2 linked regions of the Kluyveromyces lactis genome follow. The protein of the gene in region 2 purifies or fractionates together with the protein of the main gene of each other region. This does not show direct contact. Links are inferred from orthologs where the notes say so. Each region holds a gene or a part of one and is shown on either strand. Other genes may lie near its edges.

Evidence for each region.
Region 1: the proteins of UBA1 (region 2) and SER1 purify together in Saccharomyces cerevisiae (affinity purification with mass spectrometry, with the first as the bait; 3 studies listed by BioGRID). This does not show direct contact. The link is inferred for Kluyveromyces lactis from reciprocal best matches to the Saccharomyces cerevisiae genes UBA1 and SER1.

Annotation. Positions count from the first base shown.
Region 1 is NC_006039.1:438,318-441,541, reverse strand, and holds SER1 (O-phospho-L-serine:2-oxoglutarate transaminase), read right to left. Parts: upstream 1,958-3,224; coding exon 779-1,957; downstream 1-778. Other genes in the region: MEC3 (Mec3p), read left to right, coding at 1-772; RPS30A (40S ribosomal protein eS30), read left to right, coding at 2,504-2,506, 3,036-3,224. UniProt on the Saccharomyces cerevisiae protein: Phosphoserine aminotransferase (PSAT) is a pyridoxal 5'-phosphate-dependent enzyme involved in the second step of the phosphorylated pathway of serine biosynthesis.
Region 2 is NC_006038.1:1,252,557-1,256,898, forward strand, and holds UBA1 (E1 ubiquitin-activating protein UBA1), read right to left. Parts: upstream 3,100-4,342; coding exon 40-3,099; downstream 1-39. Other genes in the region: Ran GTPase-binding protein MOG1, read left to right, coding at 3,634-4,227.

The sequences.
Region 1 (3,224 bases), on a different chromosome or scaffold from region 2:
TACACTCTGCGGATTAAGCTTTTCATTTCAAGATACACGAGATGAAAGGACGATACAGCATAATATTAAGGTCGGCGTCAAATTACTGTACAATGCTCAAGACGAGAAGATAGTAGAACCAACAGTTAATTATGTGGGGATTTTGATGTTACAACTTCCGAGTCACGTAAGTGAATGGGGTCCAGGTTTTAATGCGTTTTTTAAGCGAATAGAACGATACGGAAATGTCAATACACTCAAGATACATGGCGAACAATTGGGCGAAAAGGGTTCACTGAAGGTAATTGTTGATGAATTTGACTGGAAACTTAACATCGCATGGAAAGGCCCGTTAGATGCAATGCTCAATGATATGGAAGGTGATGATTCACACTCTGATCCAAGAGATGATACGCTTCGACACAACGGTGAGACAAATGCAGAGTCATCCCCATCACCGGTAGCATGCAATGAAATGCATATTGAGGACAGTGATGTCTTGGACACTGGTATACACGGAAAATCCATTGATCGACATTCAACAATGCTAGAAAACGCTTCTGCTAGGCAATCACAAGACAAGTTGAAAGGTCACGAGGTTATAGTAAGGGTTCGTGATTGGAAAGTTTGTTCTAAACTTTATGAATCATTTGAAGAAGTCGTTCTAGTGATATCACACGATGACTCTTGTGTTTTCCATTGCTCTTTGGAAAGAGGCATTGACAGAGATGAAAACAATAAGGAGAAGGGTCAAATTATTTATTACATAAGTAAATGTAAATCGTTAAACTGATCACGATCATTGATTGTTCTCTGCAAACTTGGTGACAAAATCGACTAACAGCTTAACACTAGACAATTCAACAGCATTGTACAAAGATGCTCTGAACCCACCTACTGATCTGTGACCCTTGAGCCCAGTTAGATTTAGCTTAGTAGCTTCTTCCAAAAATTTAGAATCCAAACCGTCCTTCTTAATGGTGAAGACTACATTCATTTTTGATCTGTATTTTTTGTCTACTGGCAGATTGTAGAACTCTGGGAATTTGTCTAGAGCTTCATACAAGATCTTAGCTTTTTCCTCGTTTTCTTTTTGTTGGCTCTCAATTCCCCCTTGTTCCAATAGGCGTTGTAAAACTAAGTCAATGATATGTAAGGTGAAGATAGGAATGGTGTTATAAGCAGAGTCATTTTTCACTACAGTTGGATAATCAGTGGCAATTGGTGAGACTGGTAGAGAAGCATCCCTCAATTGCTTTGGAGAAACTTTTGCAATGTCATCCAGTATGTCTTTTTTAATGATGTACAAGGTCAACCCTGCTAACCCAATGTTTTTCTGAGCACCCGCCATAATCAAGGAATAATCAGCGACATTGATCTTACGGGACAAAATGTCAGAGGATAAATCCGCGACGATAGGAACCTTTGAGTCAATCAATTCTCGAGGCAATTGCTCTGGCCATTCAACACCGTGAACTGTTTCATTTTCACAAAGATACACATATGAATGCTTCTTAGCATCCAATTTCTGGACCCAAGTGCTTGATTCTGGGATAGTTCCAAATCTACCATTGTCTTTCTTCACATTAAAGATAACCTCCGTTGGAACACCTAACCTTTCGCTCTCCTGAGAAGATTTTTCAGACCATGAACCAGTGATCAGGTAGGCTGCAGTACCTACCTCACCGGTCTTACCGAAATGAGCTGCAGACAAGTTGGATGCAACGGATGAAAACCCCGTGGTGCCACCACCTTGCAAGAAAAAAACTTCGTGGGTATCTGGAATTGCAAACAATTCCTTCAAATGAGCCTTAGTATCGGTAATAACCTTAGCAGCAGCCTTAGAACGATGAGAGATTTCACCAATACCCAGACCTTCATCCTGGAAATTGATCAAATCCTTGGCAGCCTGTTGTAAAACTGGCAATGGTAATTGTGCTGGTCCAGCACCAAAGTAGTTCGATTGAGGTCTATCCATTGGTAATATAATGTGAGTTTCACGGACTGGCGGCCTTGTAATATACTGCTAAGGTCTTAAATCTGTTAAATTGCAGTCAACAAGACGGCAACTTGCTTGATCCATCGTTTAATCATTTCATTTAAATATTTAATATTCGTATTGACTAATTATTACTTGTAATACAAATGATGATCCCCAAGTCTAAGTCACGTGAAATGGCATGGATCATTCTTTTGGAACATACAGAGGACTGTCTTCGATCCCAACAAACATCCATACACCATTATAATTCTCTTCATGAAATACATCCAGACATCCAACGTCATATTACACAAAAATATCTGAAACACCCGAAATATCCCTAAACGGGAAATTATTGGCTGTATATTTTAGAAAAGTTTCAGCAGTTTGTGAGGAGCTTAGAGGTCAAACTTATGGAAACTTAGTTTGTAATGAATTTGAAGGTCGAAATGTACTCTGTACATAAGATTAGACATAGCAAAGGTTTATTGAATCTCCACTCTTTTTGATTACATTAAAGAAGCAGAACAAACTACAGACAAAATGGTACGTTAACTGTGTAATATATTGTTGGACTGGCGAGCGTTTATGAAACAAGAATGCGAAAATAGCAAGATAAGAAGGCACAAATCATTAATGAATAAGGAGTTAAGAAAATATAATGGGATAAAGGACAGAAACACCAGTAAGATCAGTGGCAAATACTAGTACCAGAAGTATGTGTCGAACACATTATCATAGTTCGAAGATATCAAAACATATATGAGTTGAAAGTGAAGCTCTCATTCGTTGGAAAGAGCATCAATGATATGTGTTTTTTTTACTTATGGGCACCATAGAAATATAGTACTATAGTGGCAGAAAATCAAGGGAGCTTATCTGGAAATAGGAAATTCAACGATAGATACTGAGAGATCTTGTTCATAACACTGAAAGTCTATCCAACTAAAGAAGTTATGCCAGTTTCTCTTTTTGAAGAAGAGGAATAGGTTCAGAACTTACCTATGAAATTTTGGTTATTGGAATTATTTTACTAACAACTGATTCAAATTTGATCTTTGAATTATCTTAACAGGGTAAAGTTCACGGTTCCCTAGCTCGTGCTGGTAAGGTTAAGTCTCAAACTCCAAAGGTTGAAAAGCAAGAAAAGCCAAAGCAACCAAAGGGTAGAGCTTACAAGAGATTATTGTACACCAGAAGATTCGTCAACGTTACTTTGACCAACGGTAAGAGAAAGATGAACCCATCTCCATCTTCTCAATAA
Region 2 (4,342 bases):
TTACGAATTTACATCTGGTATCAGACAAAATTAGAATCATTACAAATGGACGGTGACATATGGAACCTCCACGTCTTCACCTTCCTTATCTTCACAACAGAATTCCAAAATCATGGTCTTAACGTGACTGAGGATTTCCTTCTTCGTGACTAATTTTACAACCTCAGTTATTGGAAGATCCATTCTATCCTTTAGTTTTTTTGGAGGGAAGAATGATGCGTATAGTAAAGAAACATCGTAGGAGACCATTGTAATTTCCAATCCTTCTTCCTTGTTGAAGTGATCAATCAACTCTCTTAATGTGATATCACCTTGAATATCGAATCTATCCCATATTTTATCGAAAGTCTTATCATTGTATTTACCCTTTTGTGATGCGATTGGTTCTGAGAAACCGAAAAATGGAAGAGCTAAATTCACAAACCCGTTCTTGTATTGTTCAATATCTGTCTTTCCAGCGACGACTTTGTATAGTTCTAGGTTGACCAATCCTGTAACCAAAGCAGTGGTTGTAGCGATGGCAGGAATGATACGGCCAGCAATGAACTTAGTCTTTTGACGATCAGCTGGTTCGATAGAGTAGTTTAGAGCACGGTTGTTCGATGCAGCAGTAATGAACTCAATATGATGGTTTGTATCGTCATCCTTTTCAAATTCAACTGGGATTAGTTGGAAACCAGCTAAGGTAGAAGCATCTGGCAAAGAAGCTGCCAAGTTTTCTAAGACATCGCCACCAAGCTGGTTGTTCGCGTTTGGATCTGGTTCATCGTCATTGGTTTGAATTTTGATGTCAGCTTTTGGAATAAATTCAGGAACTATAAGCTTTGATAGGACGGATTGATAGTAGTTAATGTCTGGTTTACCATCATCTCCCTTTAGACCATAATTGAACGCACGCAAGTTAGCAGATGCAACGATGAAGTGGAAGTGATCTGGGTTTTCGATATTGAAGACTAATGGTTCAGGGGCACGCTTTGGACCAGACCAGAATGGCTCCCCGGTGGATGTTGTTGCATCCTTAGGGAAGTTGTAAAGAAACTGTTGGATATCATAACTAAACTTCTTTTCAAATTCTAATCTTGCCCATTTGACACAATCTTCAAAGTTGTAAGGTCTATTGTTTAGACAATCACTAATTGATTCTAAGATACCTTTGGCATCTGGGGCTTGTTTCAAAGTTTGTTCTACGAAGTTTGGTTGCGTCAAGTATAGGTTAACATTTTCAGCTGCGTCAGAGAAGTAGCCTTGGAATAGGGATTTGGCCCAAGCGATAGTGTGATCAATCTTATTAGGGAATGAACGCAATGTACACAATGGGATTGACTTTTCAGGAGGGTCTCTTGAAGATGAATAAGATTCTGTCAGGTTAGGGATAACCACTTGTGTATTACCCTTTGTCCCCAATGTTCCCGATTCTAGTAAAGGTTTCTTGTAGAACACACAACGACGGTCGACATAGGTACGAGCATCCACATTATCCAATGCGTTGGTAACGAAGTCTAATTGATTCCAAAAAGCATCGTTGAAAATATTCTCTGTTTCAGCACCAACTTTGTCAATCTTTGGCTCGATCTTGCCCTTCAAATCAGGATTCATTGCACTTACAGCATCAGCAGCAACTTCAGATTTATTTCTGCCGACATCCTTTGGTCTGAACAAGAATTGACGATTCAAATTCGACTTTTCAATTGAGTCATTGTCGGTAACAATAATTTTACCTTCAGGGCCAGAAGCCAAACCTAGTAAAGCCCAATTCTTGAGCATCTCACAACCGATCGCACCTGAACCCACTAGGAATACCTTCAAATTTGCGATTCTCTTTTGGAATTCCAAACCGAATACGGAAATTTGGTTATCGTAACGAGAGTTGATTGGTTTCGTGGTATCTGCATTTCTTGGGAAATCTTCAGAATCTGGTAGAGATTCGATGGAATCGAAATACATGTACTGTTTAATAGGAGTGAACTTACCGGAGGAGGCCTTTAACACTTCTTGAGCAACCAGACCACCGAAGAAAGCAACGATACCTGGAATATCACCTCTTGCTTGGTTAGCTAGTTCTGTGATGAGCTTTTCATCAACTTTCCCCTCAGAACCCAGCACTTCAGGTTGTTGTGTAGCTAAATCTATAACGAGTTTAACTAATTCATTAGAATCTTCTTCATAAAATGGCCTTGGCAATTCACCTTGATGTCTAACTTGGAACTGATGTAGGGCCTGGAAACCCAAGTGTAATTGTGCAGTAGTCTCGAATTTGGCGAAATCCGAGTACAGGAACTCTGGTGTTGCCAAAGATTCCCTTAAAGACTTGAACGTTAATTTCTGTGGCATCTTGACCTCGGTGAACAGACCACCTTTCTTGTATGTACCAAGATCCTTAACAGAACCAATCTTGAATGCGAACGGACCCAACACCTCGACCTTGTAAGGAGTACCATCATTCAACTTCTCAAGACCTTCCACCTCGGAGAATTTGACGTAATTGCCATCTTCTAACCCATGTCTGTTATCGTCCAACATGGTCACTGTACCATCCGACTCGATATCAGAAACAATACCTGTCTTTGGCTCTTCACCAGTAGTATCAATAACGGTAAATTCTTCACCTAAATCGACGAAAACGTTACCAAATAACCCACGGGTCTCCGTAGAAATGAAACCGATACCGTGAGAGTGTGTATACTCATTCAACTTCACCTTTTCTTCTAGTGAAATCGTGTCTGTCACAACAACTACTTGGAATTCAGACAATTGTGACACGTCTTCTAGCCCCTCTAGCACCTTCACTGGCACGTATGAGTTTAATTCGGCTAATTTTGCCTGTGATACTTTATCTCTAGCTTGCCCAATATCTTGTTCTGACAGGAAAAACTGCGTAGAAAGATCCTGTAAAGCGACAGCGCTTGGATCATAAAGGGTTAAAGACTTAACACCGGCCAAGACAACGTTCTTGGCAATCTCGACACCTAAACCTTTTAACCCAATGATCAAAACGTTCGAATGTTGCATCTTTAACATCGCTTCTTTACCTAATACGTACAATTGACGAGAGTACAAGCTCTCGTCAATTTCTTCGCCATCAACCTTAATATTCGTCATATCTGATACTAACTTGTGATGCAATGTGATCAAAATGAACGAACGGTTCACTTCTTGTTGCTATTGTTGTTTTAAGGAAACTGGTTTGTAGTTGTTTATAGGTTGTTGGCCTTATTAATTCGGTTTTTGCCACTTTGGGTTCGGTCACGTGAGTGGTTGAGTTTTCAGTCACGTGATATGAATGGAAGATGTTCGAATACAATACGACAGAAAGTGAAGCATTTGAGGTGATAGTATGGTTCCAAGAGCCCATATAAATTGTTTCGTAAATAATTAATTAATACGAGACAGTAATCACTTGATTTAAACCCATTTGGCATGCTTGAAGCCATCATTGCATACAATAAATGCATTTACACCAGCACACCACATAATATTTGAATGTTCGTCAAATGTGATATTTGATTTTCCCTTACCTTGAAGACGAGATGTCCTTCTCAAGAGATAAAGAGAGAGGGAGAGACTTCGACTGGCAAGGACAGCGCGATTGTTTACTCTACCCACAGTCTGACAACCCTATATATCTAATTTTCCATGTCCCATTGGATCAGACAAGAATTGTACGGCGGTGCCATCAGCACCGTCATTCCCAAGACGTTTCTTGATGCTTCAATGCTAAGGCAAGTACCAGACACACAGGAAGTGTTCGTGAATAGCAGACGTGAGAATGAACCTAGTGAGGATGGGCTCGGGTTCGATGAAAGTGTGATCGTAGACCTAATGCAGCGTGTGGAAGAGAATAATGACAGAAAAGCGTTAGATATCCATTTGGCAGAAATTTCAGAACTCAACGGATCACAGAAATGGACAGTAATTGACCATCAAGAGCAAACGGAACTCAAATCACAGACATGTATCGTTGTTGAGACCGCATACAAGTGGGGCAAACAATCGATGAAGGAAACCGTAGTAATGTGTGTTGCATTGCTCAGGTTGGATCAATTCGATACCGACGTCATCATTTCTGTTCACGTGCCTATCTCATCGGAACAAGAACTGAAGGCCATGGAACAGGCAATTGCGCAAAACTCACCGGAAAAGCTACCTCAAAGGGTGCACGCGTCCTATTCGTTGCTTCGGGACATGATCTCGAGCTTCAAAGTGGAGGATCCATCGTTATTTGCATGATCGAAACCAGGTATAGTAAAAGTATAGTAAATTATATATCCGGGTAATGAATTTCTTTAAGAATGAGTGTTTCAACTATGGAAATGGTATTATCAATGATAAACAATACATACTT